Rattus norvegicus: one gene and its partner. Each later gene encodes a partner of the first gene's protein in a complex. Links are inferred from orthologs where the notes say so. Each region holds a gene or a part of one and is shown on either strand. Other genes may lie near its edges. The genes, in order: Strip1 and Pdcd10.

The links.
Region 2: Strip1 (region 1) and Pdcd10 share a complex: the UniProt entries of both Homo sapiens proteins name them as parts of the core of STRIPAK complex. The link is inferred for Rattus norvegicus from reciprocal best matches to the Homo sapiens genes STRIP1 and PDCD10.

Annotation. Positions count from the first base shown.
Region 1 is NC_086020.1:197,931,975-197,943,315, reverse strand, and holds the end of Strip1 (striatin-interacting protein 1), read left to right. Parts: intron 1-166; coding exon 167-238; intron 239-727; coding exon 728-802; intron 803-970; coding exon 971-1,068; intron 1,069-2,212; coding exon 2,213-2,339; intron 2,340-2,534; coding exon 2,535-2,635; intron 2,636-3,310; coding exon 3,311-3,377; intron 3,378-3,839; coding exon 3,840-3,944; intron 3,945-4,456; coding exon 4,457-4,661; intron 4,662-5,819; coding exon 5,820-6,067; 3' UTR 6,068-6,747; downstream 6,748-11,341. UniProt on the Homo sapiens protein: Plays a role in the regulation of cell morphology and cytoskeletal organization. Required in the cortical actin filament dynamics and cell shape. Part of the striatin-interacting phosphatase and kinase (STRIPAK) complexes.
Region 2 is NC_086020.1:162,605,675-162,617,068, forward strand, and holds part of Pdcd10 (programmed cell death protein 10), read right to left. Parts: intron 8,971-11,394; coding exon 8,853-8,970; intron 7,762-8,852; coding exon 7,635-7,761; intron 1,396-7,634; coding exon 1,317-1,395; intron 1,062-1,316; coding exon 979-1,061; intron 1-978. UniProt on the Homo sapiens protein: Promotes cell proliferation. Modulates apoptotic pathways. Increases mitogen-activated protein kinase activity and STK26 activity. Important for cell migration, and for normal structure and assembly of the Golgi complex.

The DNA of each region.
Region 1 (11,341 bases):
TGAGTTTTTCACACAGGTTGTCAGAAGTAGTTTTAAGTTAGGAATCTTGTTGTGACTTAGCCCTCTTTCAGAAGACCAAAATAAAATCTTGGGTCTTTGCCAGGTGAGGGGGGGTGTCTGGCCAGAGTTTTTCTCGCAGCACCTTCTTTCCTGCCTTTCTCCTTAGCACAAATATACATCGATTGCAGAGGTCCAGGCACAGATGGAGGAGGAATACCTTCGCTCTCCTCTCTCAGGGGTGAGTTAAGAGGCACAAAGTCCCCAACTGCTCTCAGTCTCTGAACTGGGCCTGGCCCACAAGGCTGCTCCGGGAGTCAGCCTCTCCTTGAAGAGATTCCCATCCATGTCTTTCTCTCAGTCTGTGAATGGCACCTTGAGCATGAAACTTGATCTCTCTGAGCTTTGTTTCCTACCTGTAAAAGACCAGTGTTAGACTAGTGCCTTCTCTCTTCGTTATCTAGTGTCTGTTGAGGTAACATCTATCTGTAGCCCAGATGGCCTCAAACACCTTTGTCAGCCTTTTTGGTGCTGGGTTACAGGTGTTTGCTAACGTGCACAACTGTGGTGCCTTACGCAGTATTAACCTATTCCAAGTGACATTCTTGGGATGTTTTAGAGCCTCCTGTCAGTGTCACCAGCGTCTTCACTTTGATGCTTAGAGACTCTATTCTAGCCAGCTAGTAAATGGGCTCAGGACTGTATCCTGAGCATAGGTTTTGTTTTAAAGGGAGAAGAGGAAGTTGAACAAGTTCCTGCAGAAACCCTCTATCAAGGCTTGCTCCCTAGCCTGCCTCAGTATATGGTGAGTGCTCTCTCAGTAAGCACCCGTGGTGAGGCCCTGAAGGAGCACGGCTGCTCTCCTTCACCCTACAAGGCTCCTGCCGCCTGAGGACCCTCAGGAGTCCCACTTCTCAGGGCTTCATTATGGTCCTAGGCTCTGATTCTCATCTGGGTGGTCTGTTTTTCCCAGATTGCTCTCCTGAAGATCCTGTTGGCTGCAGCTCCCACGTCAAAAGCCAAGACAGACTCCATCAACATCTTGGCAGATGTCCTGCCTGAGGAGATGCCGTGAGTATCAGTGCTGTGATGGAGGGTGGAGGGTGGACCAGGAGTCTTCAGGTGGGCTTCTTTGCTTGGCCCCGCTTTGCTGCAGGTGAAGTTTAGGGAATTTCTAGTTCAGACAAAGGTATTGATTGGACAGATTTCACTAGGTAGGGAGATGGCTTGGCCTGAATCCCAACACAGACTGTCACTGACTGAACTTGAAATGAATTAGGATGCCAGTTTTCCTTTGTAAAATAGATGAGCAGTAGGCTTTCTCAGAGTCCTTCTTCTAGAGCCGTGTGGTTGGCATATCCTGCATGGGACGGGTAGCTCCTGGTCAGTTTGCCAGCTACCACTGAGCCTGTACCTGTGTGGAGTTCTCCTACTGGCCAGTCAACTGGCAGGCAGAACTCTGGCAAATGACTCAAGAGGAGAGAGTGAAACTCTTAGCTATTCTTCCTCTCTGGCTGACAGGTCTTTTCCTGCAAGAGAACAGCCTGAGGTCATATTCTGCATTGAGAAAAGACCCAGGCCCACACCTGACCTGCTTGCTTGCCAGGGCTGCCTTGTTCTGAGCTGACCCGCAGGTCTGGTGGTGGTGGTGGCCAGGTGAGCAAGAGACAGAGATTGGCTCATACCAGAATGGGGTTCACAGAGCAGTAGGCCATCTTGATAATCCTAAGAAATATGATCAAATATTGAATTTCTTCTGAAGATTTGCAATGAGAAGTCCTGAATTAAGAAATATATAATTTAGTGCTCCCTAAATGTGTCTAACTTCAACATCCCCCACCACGCCACTGTAGAGTGAAATTTCCCACCTACTGGCATGCCACAGAACATACTTTGGGGACTCAAGTTAACAGAGTGGCCAAAGCTTAGGGAGAGTTTGGAAAAGAAGTTCAGTTTTAGAGGAGAAGCAGAGAGAAGACTGAGTGTGCATTGGAGGGAGAAGGAGGAGAAGCAGAGAGAGGACTAATTGTGCATTGGAGGGAGCTAGAAGTTGTTCCCAGTTGGGTCTCTTGGGAGCTAGAACCCTCAGGCTGACCTCTGAGAAGTTTGAGGATTGTGGGCCTTTTCCAGAGGACTCTGGAGTCTGTCTCCTCCATGGACACCTCAGAAGGACGTGCTGTGTGCTGGTGACTCACCCAGGCACTTGTGTTTCTAGCACCACAGTGTTGCAGAGCATGAAGCTGGGGGTGGATGTGAACCGCCACAAAGAGGTCATCGTTAAGGCCATTTCTGCTGTGCTGCTGCTGCTGCTCAAGCACTTCAAGTTGAACCACATCTACCAGGTACCTGTAGGGTCTGTCTGCCTTCCTATGGGCTGGGCAGGGCCTAAGCTCCCCTATCCCCTAAGTGTAGGCTTCACTTCTGAGCCCACTTGAACTTTGTGTGAGCATTCTAACATGAGGCCCTCCAGCCAAGGCCTTTTATGTGTAGAGAAAAGAGAACAAGAGGTATGCTTGATTTTCTTCTGTTGGTTTCAGTTTGAGTACATGGCCCAGCACCTGGTATTTGCCAACTGCATCCCTTTGATCCTGAAGTTCTTCAATCAAAACATCATGTCCTACATCACTGCCAAGAACAGGTAATAAGGATCAGAGACCAGAAAGGGTGGTGTAGCCAGGTGGCAGCACTTCCTGCTGTCTCCACTGAGACTTCTCAGCAGGCTTTTTCATTAAGCTTCTATGGGTTAACATTTTGCCAGGCCTGGGGAGTCAAAATGAATGACAGTGTGTCAGTTATAGGATTAGCTACTCTAGTGACTTTGTGTTTGACCAAGAGGCTCTCATCCTAGGTTCTAGAATTGTCACTTCTATCCTCCTCCCTTTCCCCTCCAGTTCTTCATACAGAGCTTGGCCTTGTGCACTATAAATCCTTGTCTGATGATTCTTGTATACACCCACCTCGTGCCCACTGTTCCCCATAGCACCTGCTTGTCAGTATGAGGCATCACATGGGAACTGTCCAGATAGCCGTGGCCTCTAAGAGGGCTTGGCATAAATCACTTGCCTTGATTCATGGTAAGGGAAAAGCTGCAATAGATGCTCCACGTCCCCTTACAGTTACTGATTACATTACAGACTCAGTCAGTCACAGAGAGACTGTACGTACTGAAGTTTATTTCTTCATCTTATAGCCAGGGAAATCAGGTTAGAACAGGCGAGGTGGATTGTTACTTCTGCTTCAACTCAATCACGGCTGCTCTGGCAGACCCAGCCTTTGCTCACAGCGAGCATCTGGGTCTTTTTGCATTCTGTAGCATTTCTGTCTTGGATTACCCTCACTGCGTGGTGAACGAGCTTCCAGAGCTAACCGCAGAGAGTCTGGTGAGTGGCTCAGATCTCCCTGGCTATCCCTTTGGTATGAGCGTTACCTCCCCCAACACAAAGGTGTCTTCCAGAAGAGGTCACCTTTGGCTTTTAAAGTACCAGAAATGGTCATAGAGTCAGGGAGAGGGCTGTTGTGGAGCAGAATGATTGGGGGTTGGGTATATGGTTATTGGGGCATGTTCTGCAGGGGCTGCTGACCTAGAACTTGCCCACTCAAGCTGTCTACACCTTCCCACTGAAGTCTGGGGCCCTGCTGCCTAGTTTTGTAGCTCATGTTTCCTGCAGGAAGAGTCTTGAATCCTGGACGCTCTGTCAACTTGTGGGTGGAGTTCCCCTTTGGCTGTTAGATGGGCATTCTAGAATCATTGAAGTCAGTCAGGCCTTTGGACATTGCACTGAGCAGCCAGTGAACAGCCTGCAGCCGTGACAGCTGTGTTTGTGTCTGGCCTTTCCCTGTAGGAAGCTGGTGACAACAACCAGTTTTGCTGGAGGAATCTCTTTTCTTGCATCAATCTGCTTCGGATCTTGAACAAGCTAACGAAGTGGAAACACTCAAGGACTATGGTGAGTGGTGAGCAACCAGCCTGGGATGTGCTGTGTCCCCTCCACCTGGGACAGGTTCTCAGGTGCGGCTTGCCTGGCAGCATTGTCCTCATTCAGGTCTGCAGACTTCTGGTTTTTTGATGAGTACAAGCAGAAGCTGGAAGAGACTCTCAGTCATGACCTCAAACAAACCTCCTGGATGGAGACACTTTGTCCTCCTCATCCTGGGTGGGAAATGATAGCCAGGAGTCAGGAACCACCTTAACCCTGGGTTGCCCATGGAACAAGGAAGGTCCATGAGTTCTCAGAAACCAGATTACAGAGTGGCCCGTAACTAGGGTGACCAACCTTTGTGGTTCGCCTATAGCTCTGCTAGTTGTAGTGCTTAAAGCTCCAGATGCCAGCAGACTAGTGAGTTCAAGAGAAACTGCATGGCTTGTCATCCCGTTTGCTACCCCAGAAGTGCTAAGGGACCGTGCAGTGGCACTCACACTTACTGCTTTCTCACCATGGCTGCCACCATGGCCGCCCAGATGCTGGTGGTGTTCAAGTCGGCGCCCATCCTGAAGCGGGCCCTGAAGGTGAAACAGGCCATGATGCAGCTCTATGTGCTGAAGCTGCTCAAGGTGCAGACCAAGTATTTGGGACGACAGTGGCGCAAGAGCAACATGAAGACGATGTCTGCCATCTACCAGAAGGTGCGGCACCGGCTGAACGACGACTGGGCTTACGGCAATGGTGAGGCCACCTGCGGCGCGGGCGGGAGAGGGTAGGGCAGGGGACGCCTTGGACTCCTTGCCTGTGGTACCTTCATTTTCTCTGCCCTTAGGCATTGAGCAGGGCCTGTATCTAGTTTTTGTGGCTCTGGGCAAGACTTTGGGAAGCTGCTGAGAATCTGCATTCATCTGTTTCTCTGTCCCTCCACTCTAAATTCCATCTTTTCTAGAATTTGCCGTAAGATTCTGCCCACTCCTCATCTCTGCTGCAGCCTCCTGGCCTACTACCTCCTGGCCTACTACCTCCTGGCTGCCTGAGTGCAGTAGATCCTCACTGGCTCTGCTCTAGCTTCTCCTCCCACTGTCGGCCTCAGATTTGGCTCCTGTAATCTTTTCAACATACGCATCCTGTACTGTTGCCTCCTGAGTAAAATTCCTGATTAGCTTTCTAATTCCCTTAGGAATGAAATCAAACGTTAAGACAGGGACGGGTGCTCACTCACTCACTCGCCTGGTCCCATAGTCTGTGGCTTTCTTTTCTGTCACACCCAAGTCTCTGTCACACCCAAGACTCCAGACAGAGTATGACCCTCAGTACCTGCTGAGCATTGCTCCCAGGAGCGCTGCAGATCCCAGCAGCCACAGATAGCCACGCTCTCCAGTGTCCTGCTGAGCCTGCAGACAGACTGCACAGGGGCAGGGGAAACCATCCTTAGTCCCTGAGCGTTAGCAGTGTTCTTCCTGCTTCTGGGCCTCTGTAGACTGCTGGCTGTCTACAGCGTCTTCTCCCAGTCTGCTGTTGTCTGTGTGGGTGTTGCTGTGTTACATCTCTCTGTAACTCTATACCTGGCATCTGGGCTCAAGGTGGTGCATGACGTTTGTCATGGAGGTGAGAGAATGAGCAGATGAGGGACTGTAGGGTTATGTGTCTGTCCTCTGGAGCCAAGGGGAGGCTGTGCTTAATAAAGAGTTTGGTTCCCCCTCCTGGAGGGGCAGGAGGCTTTCCCATCTATCTGCAAGTTTCTTTTTCAGCGTTAAGGATTGTCTCCTTAGATTTGACCGTACTTCTGGGAAAGAATTTCTATTCAGCTTTCTGAGGGTTTGGGAGTGATCCTTTTGGTTAAAATCATGAGGAGCTATATAGGGCTGAATCCTAACTGGGTTTTCCTGCTTTTCCCAGATCTCGATGCCCGGCCATGGGACTTCCAAGCAGAGGAGTGTGCTCTCCGTGCCAACATTGAACGCTTCAATGCCCGGCGCTATGACCGGACCCACAGCAACCCTGACTTCTTGCCAGTGGACAATTGCCTGCAGAGCGTCTTGGGCCAACGGGTAGATCTTCCTGAGGACTTCCAGATGAACTATGACCTATGGCTAGAAAGGGAGGTCTTCTCTAAGCCCATTTCCTGGGAAGAGCTGCTGCAGTGAGGAGGGATGAAAAAGACTGTGATCTGTCTCATACCCGAGGGACTGTCCTTGCCATTGCTGCAGTGCTCCTGTTGCCCTCCAGGTGGCAGCACAACTCCATTGAGTCCTCCAGAACCAGTCCTGGGCCCGTGAGTGAACCCAGGTTAGCCTCTGGTTGATTCCCAGCATCCTACTCAGGAGCAGTCATCTCCAAGCTGGGATCTACTCTTCCTCCACTTCCCCAGTTTCTACCCTCCTCCCTTGGATTGACTGCGTGAAACTCATTTCACAAGTAGCCCCAGGCTGGGAAAAGCTGAGAAGGGCCTTGTGTCCCTTCTCATCGGCAGCTGTGTCTTGAGGCCATGCTGACTCCTGAGCTGCTTTGGCACGTCAGTTGGTCAAGAAGGAGGGGTGGCATGAGGGCCAGGAACAGAGTCAGCGCCTTGGTTGTGCTCTGGGGGTATCTCGTGTCATTCCGGTATCCTGCTGAGTTTTGTCCAGAAGTGATAGATACCACAGCCTCTGCACCCTGGTTTTGGATGTGGTCAAAAGTGGAGTGAGGCTTCCTGAAGCCAGAGGTGCTGGTTTCTTCTTGATTGTCATGGCCTGTAAATATACAAAACTCTGTGTGGTCTCATGTCATGGTGGGGTTTTTAATGTGTTTGTGTATTCTGTTTACATTAAAAGAAAGCAAAACTGTCCCTGTCGCCTTGTCTGTAGATGCAGGTTCTGGGGACTGGGGATGTAGCACAGGTGATCGAGTGCTTACTTAGCAGGTAAGAAGCCCTGGGTTCCATCCGCACACAGCACCACATAGGACAGGCATAGCAGTGCACACACTTGTAATCTCAGCACTTGAGAGGGGGAAGCAGGCGAATCAGAAGTTCTAGGTCAGCTTTGGCTAAATAGTTCAAGTTCAGTCTAGGCTGTGTAAGGTTCTCTCATAGAAATGTCTGAAAATTGTCAGTTTTCAAAAGTATCTCTTCCTCCGCCCAGCTAAGTGCTTGCCTGTCTTCCTGCCTTTCCTACTAGTGTACAGGGAAGGAGGACGTGGTACTTTGGTCATCTACCCACGTCAGTCTGGATTACTTTAAGGTTCTGGGTTTGCTGGGGATCAGTGTTCCTGACTCCTGGGCTTGCTATAGTTTCAGTAGAAACTTCAGATTTCTCAGGATGACATTCCTTAGCTGCCCTCACACAAGCCAGTTAGTGCTAGGTTTAAGTGAAGTCACTTGGTTCGGTCTTCACTGGGACAGAGGTGTTTGGGACAAGGAGGAGAGTTAGTTGTGTGTATCAAAGGAATCAGTTTCATGTGGGAGAGCAATGGAGAGAGCAGGTGTCCTATGGCTAAGGGAGAAACAAGGGGAACAGGACCGTTTAAGTCCTAGAACCTCACTTGGCTCAGATATCAGCCTCAGCCTCTTTTTCTTCAGACTTAACCCCCTCGTGATTTTAGTGACAGACTGCTCTTTCTCATAATTCCTAGACGCTCCCTGTAGGCAACATGTATGCGGTCTTAAGTCTCTAGGGGGAGAGCCTTGACTGATAGAGGAAATGTTCCAGGGCAAGTCTGTTTGGTTGGTATTTAGATACAGTGCCTGCTGGGTCTGCGACCTGCTGAGCCCCAGGATGTGCTTTAATGTGGTGGCATAGTTAATAATAGCCAGGTGGAAGGGTCAGAACATGAAAGTCACAAAGCCTTATGGGCTGGAAAGTCCCTATGACTAGCTCTTTTCCCCCCAAAGCAACTTGCATAGGACAATGGAGTCTCATCGTTCTTGTTTGCATGGTGGGTCTGCTGTTTGCGTGCTAGAACAAGGAAGTATAGATGTGGAAATACCTGAGAAACGTGGGTTTCACGTTCTTAATCCAACATGCATCTAGCTCTCTGAAATCGCTTAGCCTGGTGCTTTGACTTCCCCTGCTCCTCTTTGCAGACATCCCAGGCTCTCTTCTTCCTTAAAGAAGAGAACAAAAACCATAAACCATAAGGCAATGAGCCAGGGCAGATGAATCCCTTCATCTTTAGATTCAGGTGCCGGCCCCAAGAAAGAGCAAAGCAGCTTCTCTGACTGGCATGTTACTGTCATGTTGCCTTTAAAACCCAGGTCCTTGTGTGTAAACATCTTGGAGACACCTAATTTCGGGCTATTTCATCTGGGTAATGAGAGGAACATGAAGACGCTCTGAAAATGGTTGAGTTACACAGAAGGGTCCAGTTCTCCTTAATGTACCAAGGAATAGATTACTGTGTGACTGTGGACCATGCCAGGAGACTTAGTAAGGGCACCCAGGTGCCCGCCTGAGACAGTAGGCAGCTCCCTGTTCCCTCTAGATTCCTGCCCAGAACACGTGCCATGCTTCCACATGGGACACTGAAGTTCTGGGCTGTTGCACCATAGGTCATGTGGCCCAGAACAAAGTTCTCCGTGTTAATGAGGTATCTAAAGGCCCTGGGGGTTTAGCTAATAAGCTTCCCTTCCCAGATTCCTTCCTGCAAAAAGTATTTAATCTCTGGTCCACCCTTAGGAGCTGGTACACATCTGTTTTCCAGGATGAACAGTCAGTAAACAATGTGGATAAACATGGACTGTCTCATCGAGAACTGCAATGGCGAGCATGAACAATGCCTTCGACTACCAAGCCGCTGCCCGAGTCTCCCACAGAAGGCCTCTCTGTGTTCCCAGACAACCATGGCTAAGCTAAGGACTTTCACTGATGAGCTAAGGCTGAGATCCCCATTCCCATGGGCCCCGGAATAGTCCTCAGCCCAAGGGCCCTCAACTCCCTTCTGACTCCTCTGTGTGATACCCCAGCAGTGACTGTATGCCCAGAAGTCATGGAACCCCAGCTTCAGCCCCCCACATCCTAGGCTGCATTTCCCTCCCCCAGAGTGGTGCTTCTTAAAGCCCAGCACCTAGTGCTCCCACTTTTCGCCTCCCCAGTGTTGCTTCCATACCAACCTACATTTCCCCTAGGCTAGTATCATCTCAGAAGATCCACAGGGACCCGACACTGTAAGGTGTCTGTTAGTCGAATTCTCCACATAGTGGTTAGCAATAAACAACTTGTGTCACAATAGCCCCGTGTGATGGTTCCTCTTCACTATCAACTTGACTGGATTTAGAAATCACCTGAAAAAGACACTTCAGTATGTGTGTCTGTGGGGACATTTCCAGAGAGGTTTAATGGAGGAAGGAAGGCTTACCCTAAATGTGGGAGGCCCCACTGCATAGGCTGAATAAAGGAAAAAGTGAGAAAGTGTATTGAGCACTGGTGTTCATCTGTTTTCTGTGAACAGACAGAATGTGACCAGCCACCCCACACTCCTTTCACCATGGCTCCTCCATGATGGCTGTATCCCCTATAACTAGGAGCCAAACAAGCCCTTCTTTAAGTTGCCTTTGCCAGATATGTTGCCATAGCAACAAGAGAAGGAGCGACTGTACCGTGAAAGTAAATGCCACCATGGACCCCATTTTGCAGATGTGCAAACTGGCACAGAAAGGGTAAAGAACTTGCCCAAGGGCATAAGAAATAAGGGATAGAGCTAGGATTCAAACGCAGTCTCCACAGTAAACATGTGCTCCCTGCCCCCACCTTCTTAACCATTGTCATCCCTGGGCACTCAGGGCCACTGCTCAGTTATTCATTTGTAAGCCATACTTGCTTGGTATTGGCTCTGACATGGTCCCTAGTGCAGAAGATTCATGGCAAATGTCCCTTGCTTTAGGCCCTAACTGGGCCACCCAGGCTTAGCCTTGTCTTAGCTATTGGCTAACCCTGAGTGTACCCTCAAAGGAACTTGAATTATTGTGGTGGGGTGTGTGTGTGTGTGTGTGTGTGTGTGTGTGTGTGTGTGTGTGTGTGCGCGCGCGCGCTTTGGTTTTGTTTTGTTTGACACATTAGTGGTTGCATCCAGGGCTTTATACACACTAGGCGAGCGCTCTGCCGCTGGGATACAGCCTAAGCACTCTCTAGTTTTTATTTTGAGGCAAGGTCTCAGTAAACCTACCCAGACTGGTCTTGAACTAGCTTGTAACTCAGCAAGACCTTGATAATGTAATCCTCCTGCTTCGGCCTTCCAAATAACTGATCTTACAGGTCTGTGCCATTTAGTCCAGCTTTGAGCCTCAGTACCTTTCCTGGTCTTAGAGGACTCCTGTGTTAGCTACCTTTGCTGTACATGTTCAGTTTATCTCTTGGGAGGCTGTTTTCCTGCCTGTTGTGTAATAAACTGATTAGCGTCACAGTAGCTGCTATCTTCATTCAACACTTGGCACAGTCAGCCTTAGGCTGCTGCTCTCAAGAGAGGTTCACTCCCTTGGAAGTCAGACAACCTTGACTCTTGTTCTGCCTTCTGAGACAGGGTCTCACCATGTAGATGATCTCACTGTGTCGTCCTGGTGGCCTGGAGCTAACATCATAGCTCGACTATGCCTCTCAAGTGCTGGATGCAAACTGTGTGGTACCACACCCAGCTAGCCCTGACATTAACCTGAGTCTTTACCTTTACTCACTGGCTTATCTGTAATGTCTGCCTTAATGACAGACAACCCTGTTGCAAGGGCTGAATAAGGTATCCGAGTATTAGAGTCTCAGACCTGACTGACAAGGGACCACTATAAATGGGTAATCATTAGCATTGCTGATGCCCTTCTAATTCTAACCTGTGAATTTGCATACACTTCCTGTGTCTCCTAGAACAAAAATCCTCTAAGGTCAGAACCTCCTGTTCTGGGCCAGGTGCTGTGCTAGGTGGCTTGAAGGTCCAGGCGAAGAGGGTATCACAGTCTACCACTTCCATCCACAGGGCCCACCATGGACCCCAGAGTTCCAGTCTACACCTTCCTCTTGAACAAGAGACTGGGCTGGGGGATCCTCCAGTCATGGAGTGGGAAGGGAACCAAGGAAGCTGGGGTGAGGGTAAGGTATATGCTTCCTCTGTTGGGTCAGGGAAATGTCTACTCAAGTCTTTCCTCCTCTGGGCTCTACTTCTGCCTGCGGCTGCAGAGGGTCTGCACGTTGGGTTGTAATTCAGGTTGATGCGTTGCTGGCTGGGGAAGGTGGGGAAGGAGAACTAAATGCCTGTGATGGGAAACAGTCTCTACTGCTGACTGAGGTAGAAGCCTGGACTAATAAATCACCCTGGCCAGGGCCCTGCAATTCTTCTGTGGAGTCAACATGCATGCCACAACTGAGATTTAAATATAGAATCTAAATATAGACGTTTCTACCTCTGTCTCTTTAACATGCCCTGCTGGTGTATAGCACCACAACCAGCATAAGGCTTGA
Region 2 (11,394 bases), about 35 Mb from region 1:
GTAGAACAACAATATCAACCTAACAGACCCTTCCCATAGCTCTCAAGGTCTAAATCACCAACTAAAGAGTACACATGGAGGGACCCATGGCTCCAGCTGCATATGTAGCAGAGGATGGCCTTATCTGGCATCAATGGGAGGGGAGCCCCTTGGTCCTGTGGAGGCTTGATGCCCCAGTGTAGGGGAATGCTAGGGTGGTGTGGCAAGAGTGGGTGGGTGGGTGGCTAAGTATCCTCATAGAAGCAGGGGGGAAGGGGGATGGGATAGGGAGGTTGCAGGGGGGAGACAAAGAAGGGGAATAACATTTGAAATGTGAATAACAACAACAAAAAAGGGCTGACTTCATATCTCTAAATGTTTAAAAAAAACCCACCAAAAAAAAAAAACCAAAACAAAACAAGAAAACAAATATACAAACAAACTGCATTCAGGTAGTTTGTTCAGTTTAAAGTTTAGCATCTGGTCCTTTTCAAAAAGTTTCAAAATCCTTAAAGTAGGTTTCAGTTGTGGTTAGAACAGTAACCACTCTCCAATCTGCTGCCTTTGTTGAATAAGATGACTATTAAGGATGGAAGACAGAACTCAACAGCCACTGATTTTATGTTTTAATTTCTTTTTTTTTTAAAGATTTATTCATTTATTATATATAAGTACACTGTAGCTGTCTTCAGACACACCAGAAGAGGGCATCAGATCTCTTTACAGATGGTTGTGAGCCACCATGTGGTCGCTGGGAATTGAACTCAGGACCTCTGAAAGAGCAGATCTGAGCCATCTCTCCAGCCCTTATGTTTTAATTTCTATGTTCAATTTTCTCTTTTAGCTCCTTTCACTAAGTGGGTGTTTGGAATTAAACTGTGGATGAGAGGCTAGGCTGTGAGAGCCTTTACCCATGGAGACCTCTTACTGGCTCAATTTCAAGAGCCTACAAAAACATTCATTTAATTATAGTAGAAAAGTATTAATGACCATACTTACTTGCCATCTTTAAAATATGTCTTCAGAGTGTCACTGAAACTTTTGGAGTATTTTACAAATTCTTTCTTTTGGTGTTCAAGTGCCTATATTTACAGAAAGAAAAATAAGCTAAGTCAGAAGAAGAGCACAGAAGGCTAAGTCAAAGGGCAAAGACGGCAATGAATATGGGATGGATTTATACTCCGTAAGTCTGTGAAGTGTTTACTCACATAACCACACATCCACATCTGAGGACAAATGCAATGAGACAAATTCCAATACCCTCACCCTTCAGTCCACAGGCCATAAAACAACTGTATGCAAGCCCATATCTATGGTACCAACAACAAGCAACTTACCCTGCGGTTCTGGTATTGATATTTTTTAAAGACATTATTCACTGTATCAAGTAGTTCTTTTATTGCACTAGCTATATCCCTGTTTGAAAAGAAATAACACAATATTTAAAATCAGCTACATTGCAAGAAATATGTATGTATAATTATGAATCATGCTATACCACTTCACTTCCCCCACTGTTATGTATGCCTGTATGTCAGAAACTTTCATAGATTATCTATCCCGGCTCTGCCTGAGGGCTGGGATTAAAGGTATGCACCACATGGCTGGCTATTCATCTACATCTCTATCTATAGCCATTATCTTTTTGTTTTTGAGACAAGATATCAAGTAACCAGGGTAGCTTTGAACTCTACATGTAAACAAAAACTGTGAACTTCTATGATCCTCTTGGATTCATATCCAGAGTGAAATCATTCCCAGTGCACTGTTAGGAATTAAATCCTACTCTTTACACATGCAAGGCACACTCTCTACCAACGCCAGACTATCCATTTACATACTTAATTTTCTCAGTTCATGAAGTACTTCAGCTCATTCTGGAGTAGTAACACCATTTTTTCCAAACATGATGAATATACACCATCTCTTACATGCAAAGCACTGATATTAGGGTAGAACATAAAACGTTCCCTAGTGGAGTAGAATTATTTTCACACAGAAATAACACCTAGCCATTTACCACCACTGCTCCTTATTTAATAGTTGCAGCCTAAATCATGGAAGAGCCTCTCTATTTTCAAACAACTTCAATATTTTGCTTTGATGTGAAGGGCATAGTCCATCATATTTAGTAAAATTGTGTCACTGAACCTTGCTGTATTTTTGAGAAAAATTATACTTGTAACCAATATAAAATGTTAAATCTTCATATGAAAGAAAGTTTCACTAAATCTACAATGGAGCTAACTAAAATAAAGAAGGTAACAGTGATCACATAGATATGTAAATGTAACATCATTTTTTAAGCGTATTTTAGTATTCTACAAAAAATAATTATTAACTTGTTGCCATGGCTAGTGAGAAAGAGATTATAACAGAAATGGCTGGACAGAGCAGGTCAAGTGAGAGCTCAGAAAGAGACTGCTTAACTTATCTGGCAAGAAAAGCAAGTCAGGAAGAAGAGAAAGGGCTTTGCTTTTGAGAACTGGGAATCTGAAAGGCGAGCATGATGACAGCTGCTGAATCACAGTCTCTAGCGAGGCTTTCCTCAGACAGCAAATCACAGAGCCATCACAAATACCAAAATATCGGCACAAAGCTAGGGTAATCAGGTGAGTGACTACAGAGCCTGGTTTTAGCTGCACTTAACAGGAAGGAAAGGGTATCCATCATCCTTGTCTTTCAACTTCAAGAAGCCCAGAGCAAAGCAAGGTACCTCTCAGTTAGAAGAAAAGAAAATTGTTCATGGCCCAGGGATAGAACAGCTTTAGCAAAGCCACAGCAGGACCCAGGGCTAGACAAAAGCCTAGTAACTTGCTGCTGGGGCCAGGAACTTAGCTGCTAGAACAGCATCAGGCTAGGAGCCTAACGGCCTGGACAAGCTATGTTCTACAGAATAAGCTGGGAGGAAGAACAGGACAGCTCTGTCTCACTGTTAGGTCTAAGTCCACAGTGAGGAAAAGCAAGCACCTAGAGACACTGAGGCCCTGTATGAGAGAGAGAGAGAGAGAGAGAGAGAGAGAGAGAGAGAGAGAGAGAGAGAGAGAGAGAGAGCGAGCTTCAAACAGCCTAGGACCAGCTCTGTTATTGGGCAGAGGTCTGTACATTTGCAGCTCATGGTTATGCTACCTGACGAGACTTATGCAGATCTCTGGGGCTAAGGTTTAGGTACAACTCAGATCTCTGGGGCTAAGGTTTAGGTACAACTCAACTTTGCATTATTAATTTGTGGCTCCCTCCTCCACCCAAGTAGCATAGCTATAATTAGGTCTAAGCTCATAATGGGATTCCAGCACTGTCCCAGCATCTAACTAGTTTGGCTTGCAACACTGCTGGCTACCACAAAAGGTGAGGTATACCTGGGACTTACGCATAACAAAACCTGGTATGAGTTCTCAACTTAAAGCCAGATGCTTGATGCTGAGCAGTTTCCCAGGTGATGGTGTCAGCAGAGCTTCCTGAACAGCTCTAAATAACCTAGGAACATGAACCCTCCTCTATTAGACTTCTAATCTAGAAGCATCACTGATACCTAGTATTTTCTCGGATTATATGTATACTGAAAACCAGGAGACTTTGCAAGAAAGGGTCTTGGTTCTAATTTTCCAATACAGTGGTCTTCATTGCCCAGGGGCTTGGAGCATGACAGAGATTAGTGGTATGGTGGTCACAGCTACAAGACAGTACTCGAGTACTGCTCCATGCAATGACTCTGTCTGAAGCCAAAGACAACCCTGTAAAAAGTCAGACCTTAGGCCAGGTACTGTGAAAAAGGCCTTCACCCTATGTGGGCCACAGAGAAAGGCTTGAGCATAAGAGAATCTTCTCTCTTTAATTTCTGAGCAATAAATCTTAACAATGTACCAATGAACAAAATTACTACTAAATTCTCCTTTATTCCAACCTCCCAATAAATTCTAAGAAACAAGATTACCCCAACACCAGATAACAACATAAAACACTGTAGCAAAATAAAACAGATTAAAAAATGGACAAGAAACTCAAACAGACATTTTTAAAAACATCAGTGTCTAACTAATGACACTAAAAGTAGGTGATAAGACAATACTGCTAAGTAACAAAGAAACACAAATCAAAAGCATAATAAGCCATCATTTCAGCCACAGTGATAGCAACACAAAGTAAGGAATGTTGGCAAGGCTGCAGAGAAAAGCAGAGCCACAAACACTGAGGGTGGGAGTGTAAATTATCAGCATGTTATGTGGACAACAGTACTAGTCATTTCACTGCTTGGGTACACATCTAACACGATGAAATAAGTCTATCAAATAGATGTTCTACACTCCCATGTTCACCAGAGCTGTTCACAAAATAGTCAAAAAATAGTAAACAAGTCTGGTGTTCATCAACTGCTGGATGAATGGAAAAACCCAGTACAGATATACTGGATACTATTCAACAGTGAAAAACAATGAAATCCTGTAATCTATGATAATATGAATGGAATAAGACACTATTGTTAGATGAAATAACTCATAGAGAAAAAACAACACCATATAATTTCACTTGGAAGGAGAGTCTAAAGATGTTGATTTGATAACAGTTGAAAGTAAATGGTTGTGAGGAGAGGCTGGGAAGAGTGGAGGAAGGAGTACAGGGAAAGTATGATCATTGAATACTAAGTCACAGTTAGACAGGAACAAATTATGGCGTGGTACTGCATAGTAAGTAGAGTGACTATACATAACAATTACATGCCAATTTTTAAAAAACGACCTAGGATTTTTAAGTTTACACAAGGCAAACATGTGTTAGACATCACATGGCTCCCACTGATACATATAACCTTTGTATTCCTGGCTATCTATTACAATACAATTAAGAGTCTACACAAGTATGGATGAGCCACATTTTCAATCCTCTGCTATTTGGGAATGTGCAGCTAAGCCTGCTACTAGAAGATCAGGCAAATCACGGCGACTTACCCAGCTGCTGAAAAATGTTCTTGAAAAACATCCTGAAATAACTTACATTGAATAAATTATCCATAGATAGACAGTATAACATTGTTTACAGCACCAAGGTTTGCACTAGGGACATTGAATTATATTAGTAATCACCTGAGAATTAGCAAATTACCTAAGAACATAACAGCACAAAGGAATACTTAGCCAGTGAACCAGATAAAGAATTGAGATACAATAACTCTTTTAGATATAAATAATTTACAGCAGATGAAATCTGTGATAACTGACAGCAATATTTATATTCCCATAAAATTTGGTACAGTAGGTCATACTGGCTTAAAAGTAGCAAAATATGGGAAAGTAGGATTACTAATTTAAATATGAAAAAGTATGATTTGTTAAAAAAACTAAATTGTAGCCATCTGCACTATTCATACTCGATTGACTTCTCTTTTCCCAAATAATGTGAACATCCAAAAACATAAGACAAATGAATCCTGAAATGTATACAAAATACATTTCCACTGCCGTTACTCTATTAGTGCATTCAAAAAGTAGAAGTAAAATTGCAACGCCTAAGCCTTTGTTAAAAACTACAGGCAAACTCTCAAGGGATTGATTGATCAGGACCTTAACTGCTCATAATGTGACTTGCACTCTATTTCCTAGAAACCACAGCAGGTTAAAGAGACTTCCTAATGTAGTGGTTCTTAATCTTTCTAACACGTTCCTCGTGTTAAGTGAACCCCAACCATAAAATTATATTGTTGCTACTTCATACCTATAATTTTACTACTGTTATGAACCCTAATGTAAATATGTGATATGTGGAATATCTAATATGTGACCCCAAAGAGGTCCTGACGAACAGATTGAGAAACACTGCCTTGGAGGGCAGAAACTATCATGAGGATGCCATTTCTGGTGCTATCCTTTCTGCCTTGGTGTACACTGTAATACTCCTCTCTAGTCTACTGACATTCAATAGAAGATATCATTATCACATTTCATTCAAATAGCAGAAGCCTGTCTGCACATGATTAGATCAACATCAATATAGGAATGGAACATAGCAGAGAATGCTGCCCTATACCCTTAGGAATATAACTTACTTTTATTTGTGGCTCATTCTCTTCATCTTTCAGGGAAATAATTATTAATACTATATCATTAACATATTAATACAAAGAAGTGCTTATGCTGCAACATAATCTTGTTTCTTTCCTTATCATTCAAAACATATGCTCCAAACATTTAACAGAGCATTTTGTAGTGAATGTCAAAGAGGATATTCCTGAGCACAAAACTGGCACTTACTTCATGTGGTTTCTTTTTATGGTTTCAAGGTAACACACAATTTAGCCTATGCCACATAACCATGCTAATAAAACTATGCTTCCCAGAAACCTTTACCTATGGCTTCCCCGAAGCACTACATTAATTGCAGATACAATTATTCCAGCTTGTGCTGCTTTCTAGCTATGAGGCTGAAGAGAATTACCACAGACACTTAGCTAGAAAGTATTTCCATCATTCACTAGTACAACCCTCAAAGGTGTTAGGTTGGTGATTTTGTCAACCTGACACAAGCTAGGGTCTTCTGAGAAGAGGACACCTCAGTTGAGAAAATGTATCCATGACATTGGCTATAGTGAACCTGGGGGGAATTTTCGGTTTGAAGCCTGATGTGTGGGAGGAATTACTCCTGGGGAGGTAGTCATGAAGTGTGTAACAGTGATCATGAGCCAGCTGGTAAACAGCACTCCTCCATGGCCTCTACTTCAGTTCTTGCCTCCAGAATTCTGCCTTGGCTTTTCTCAATAGGCTGTGAGTTATTTGGCTCAGTCTGACACCCAGCTCTCTAGAACTCACTACTCCTTTGCTGCCCAGCTTCTTAGCCCTTGTTACTTAACCTATAATCCAAAAGCAAGGATTTAGAGGTTCAACTTGGTAAATATCAAAAAACTCCATTCACATCTATATATTCATTTATTCCGATGATTTATGCCACTTTTGAAAGGAAAGCAACATTGGAACTTTCTGGCTACCAACATAGTGCCTACATTTGCTTTTGTCTGAAATATACAGGTTATTTACAGAATTTGTATATATACTGTCTTAGCATTTTATTGCTTTAAAAGGACATAATACTAAGGTCACAAAGGCAAACTTTTAGTTGGGGCTGACTTACAGTTTCAGAAGTTCAGTCTAATACCATCACGGTGGGAAGCATGGCATTATGTAGGCAGACTTGGTGCTGGAGGACCCAAGAATTCTACATCTTGATCTGAACACAGGCAGGAGACTAGTCTTCTGCAGGCGCCCAGGAAGAGGCTGTCTTTCCACACTGGGTAGAGCTTGAGCATTCAGACCTCATTGCCAACCCCCACAGGGACGATCTTTCTCCAAGGCCTTGACTACTCTAACAAGGCTACAGCTCCTAAAAGTGCCATTCCTCATGGGCCAAACACTCAAAGAATGAGTCTACGGGAGCCAGACCTTTCAAATTTCCACATAAAGTTTAATTTATATGGTTTAAGTTATTTGATTCATTATTGACAATTAAACATTCTAAAATGTCAGGATACTCTGAGGCCATTATGTCCAAAGTCCATGGCATTCAAAATTTCAGGTTTTATTACAACTTAATATTTTAATAAAATTCCTATCAAAATAAACAGAATTAATGATTGTTTTTAAATAAATCAAAGTAAAAACCTCACTTACTTGATTGTCTGCAGAAACCTCACTCTGTCATTGATCTCGTCTGGAATCTTACTGAGAATCTGTTTAAGTGCCCGTGCCTTTTCATTTAGGTCCTGGAATTCTGGCTCTGGTCGTTCAATCATGTACTCTGATAAAACAGAAACACAATAAAAATGTCATGTGACTCCGACAAATTCAATCTAACAACTCCCAATGCAGACTAAAGGAAGGATAGAGTGGGAAGACAGTCATTTAGTCCGAAAACAGAAACAAAGTTCAACTTGGTCAGGTGTAAAAATAAATAAATAATTTCTAAAGTAAAACAGAGTAAGACTACATATCTTTGAGATATATGAGGAAATGTAATACAATCTTAAATAATCCACCCATCCATTGATTTAAAGAAAGGAGGCTCCTTAACTCATGAGTCCTGATGTTCTGTATTGATGTCCCATGAGATCTTAAATAATGACACTCATAAAGAAGAAGTAGGTCATTTACATATTTGTAAAAAGGAAAGGGGAATTCAGAAACTTAAAACCCCTATAGTGTGGAATGTAGTACAGCCTACTTTATTAAGCTTCCTTTAGTATTGAATATGTGATGGGCAATAATATTAAAACTCCTACAGTACTGAATCTACTATAGTGTAGAATATTTTATGGTTCATCATACTAAAACCACATCGTGTTGAACATACTTTGGCTCATATTAAAATGTCTACAATGTGAAATATACTGTAGTTCATTATATTATAATCACAAACTTCCTACAATTTTCAGTATATTCTTAAAATTTCATTTGAAAACAAAGGCCAATACAAGCTCAACATATAGGCTGGGCTCCTAAAATGGCTTTTAAAAAGAAGTCTCAGTCAGACTTGGTAGATAAAAAGGCTTCTTACTACCAGGCTCACTGTCTAGTAGGAAGCTCATCAACTTAAAAACGGCTCACTTCTTTCAAATGCTACACAGAATATTTCTCAGAACTTTCAGTGAATTTGAAATTTGTCGATCCCTATATTAATGGGCAAAAAGATAAAAGTGTGTTGTATCAACAAATATGTCACTTAACTAAATTTGACAAATACAGAAAAGTTAAAGAGTCTGCTTGTTTCCTTTTACAGATAATGTCCACTACCATCACAAGAAGCATGAAGGAAGGGGGACAACTGGTAATGATCTGAAGGAAGTGCTTCTCAAGAATGGAGAAACTAAACACAAGTCTTCGTTCTGGTACCTTCTACGTCATCAGCTGCCATACGAAGAAGGGACTCAGTGAAGTTAACTTCTACACTTTTTTTCTCTAAGATTTTCATAATGATGTCTTGTGTGAGGCCTGGATTTTCCTTTTCAGCCTGCAAGAAAAACATGTAATGAGTCAACTGTCTGGTTCGAGATCTCTGGCTTCTGTGACAGAGGGATATACTGTGAGAAACACTGCTTCCACAATGAGATGCTTCCCATGCTTTGTTTTTTGTTTGTCTGTTTCTTTATTTTGGAGGGAGGTTTCAAGGACAAGGGGCAGATACAAGGGGATGGATGGGAAGATGAGTGGGACTGGCATACATGATGCAAAATTCATAAAGAATTAATAAAAAGGTAAAAAATCCTTACACTTCTCATGTTTTCCTATAAAAAATATCTCTAGTTTTGAAATACAGAAATGTGATCAGCATTTTAAAGCTAAAACTTAATTGTTAAGAATTTATTTACTTATAAGAACAGAAAGCATCGGTGACACGGTGCCACTAAGGGCACCATCAGCTTTGCTCAGCTTATACGTCAGAAGCTTTTATCATGTGCAAAGTCACAGACACACCGAGCATTCCTTGCCTTTCTATTATGTCTTCTCTCAGTCAACCAACAATGACAAAATCTCTTTATGATAGATTGCTCTTATCATGAATACACTGAGACATTTTAGCATATATAATATTTCATCTTAGATGGGCAATAATAACTCATCAAATGTTTTTGGAATATGTGCTGTATTAGAATTAAATACCAGGAAAAGCTAAATAAAACACTAGGGTAGCTTTTGCACTTTTAAGTAAAATTGATTTATTCACTTACCTACTTTTCATAGAATAATTTCCATTTCTCATTTTAGCTTTATAGCAAGAAATTTTGTTCAATGGTTTTTAAATTATCACTCATTGAAATTTGATTTTTTATTTACTGTTACTGGGATGTGTATGTGTGTGTGTGTGTGTGTGCGCGCGCGCGCGTTGCTTGGCCATAGGCAAGTACCCATGTACAAGTATAAGTGATAGGACAGCTCCGGGGAGTCACTTTTCTTCTCCCACTTTGCATGGGCTCGGGGAATTGAATTTTGCACATCAGGTTTGCTTGACAATTGCATTTCTGCATGGAGCCTTCCCAGCAGCCCTCTAGAGTACCCTGGAAAGCTACCGACAGAGCACGATAGATAATGTGGAGCATTATAAATAAATGCACATCTCTTAGGGCCCTAGAATCTAGCCATGCCAAGATTGAATATAAAGGCAAGTTTTGTACTTCCACTTTCACAGTAATTTAGTCTATTCCATTACTTAAATTTTTTTAATCAAATTGAAATTGTGTCTCCTTAAGGATGCCTGCCAATTAAATCTATATAACAGTTTTTCTTTTATCCTAATAATCATGTAGAAGCATAATTTCTAATCTTGATCCAATGACACTCATTCAGCTTCCTGAGTTTCAAACACAATTAACCTCTCTGACTCTGGAGCTCCATCCTAATGTCACCGAGGTTACAGTTTTCTTGTGTTCATCACTTTCTTAAAACACTCTTGAGATCTCAAGTAGGAAAACCTTAGAGGTTATGAACTGAAGTGGGGAAAGGCACAAAATATACACATGGGATGGATCACTGTTCTTGCAGCATCTAAATTCTGTTTCGTCAAGGTAACCCTCAAAAGAAAAATGATTCAAATTTGGTTAAATGAGCTATTATAGTCTTAGTTTCCTGAACTGCCAAAAATTATACTAGATGCTTATTTCATAACAGTTGTTTATCTTCCTTGTCCAAGTAGCATTAAGTCCACCTACATAATGAATTATCTTGGGGGCATGGTGTTTACAGGAAATAGCTGCAGAGAAACAGCTTGCTAATTAAGTTAAAGTGCTGAAAGAATTAAATCTAAGTCTGCACACAAAGTTTTTAATACTAGTTTGATTTGGCACAGCAAAAGGTCAGCAGTGGAAAATGCAGAAGTCTCACAGAGGCCCTGAGCTTTCCCAGTTCTCAGAGCTGAGAGCCAAATGCAGTTTATTCCGTAGTTTAGGTAGTACAAATATCTTAGGGAAGTGGTATATCCTAATAACAGAGTTATCCCAAAACTTTGTACACAACAAAATAGACAATATTTTATCTATTGCTATGTACTAATTAATGGGATGTTTGCACTTCCTGAGCACTGTAGTTTCTCAAACACCGGACTTAGATTGGCACCACCATTCTCATTTCCCCCTGCACATTGATTTTTTTTTTTTTCCTTTTTCTGGTACTTGCTTTTAGTAGTTCCTCAAAGACAGGCCATCATTTCAAAGAATGCAGATCAATCTAGTATGTTGAAATCACAAACTACTTCTAAAGAAGTTCACAATGTAAACAGATGTTAGTTTCACAGTACTCATTTTTCTAAAACACTTTACACAACCCACTAGGTTTGCAGGGCAGCTGGGCACAACTGTTGGAAATTATGTCTTGGTGCAGTGGTTTTCTCAACCTTCTTAGTGCTGCAACCATTTAATATAGTTCCTCATGTTGCATAAAA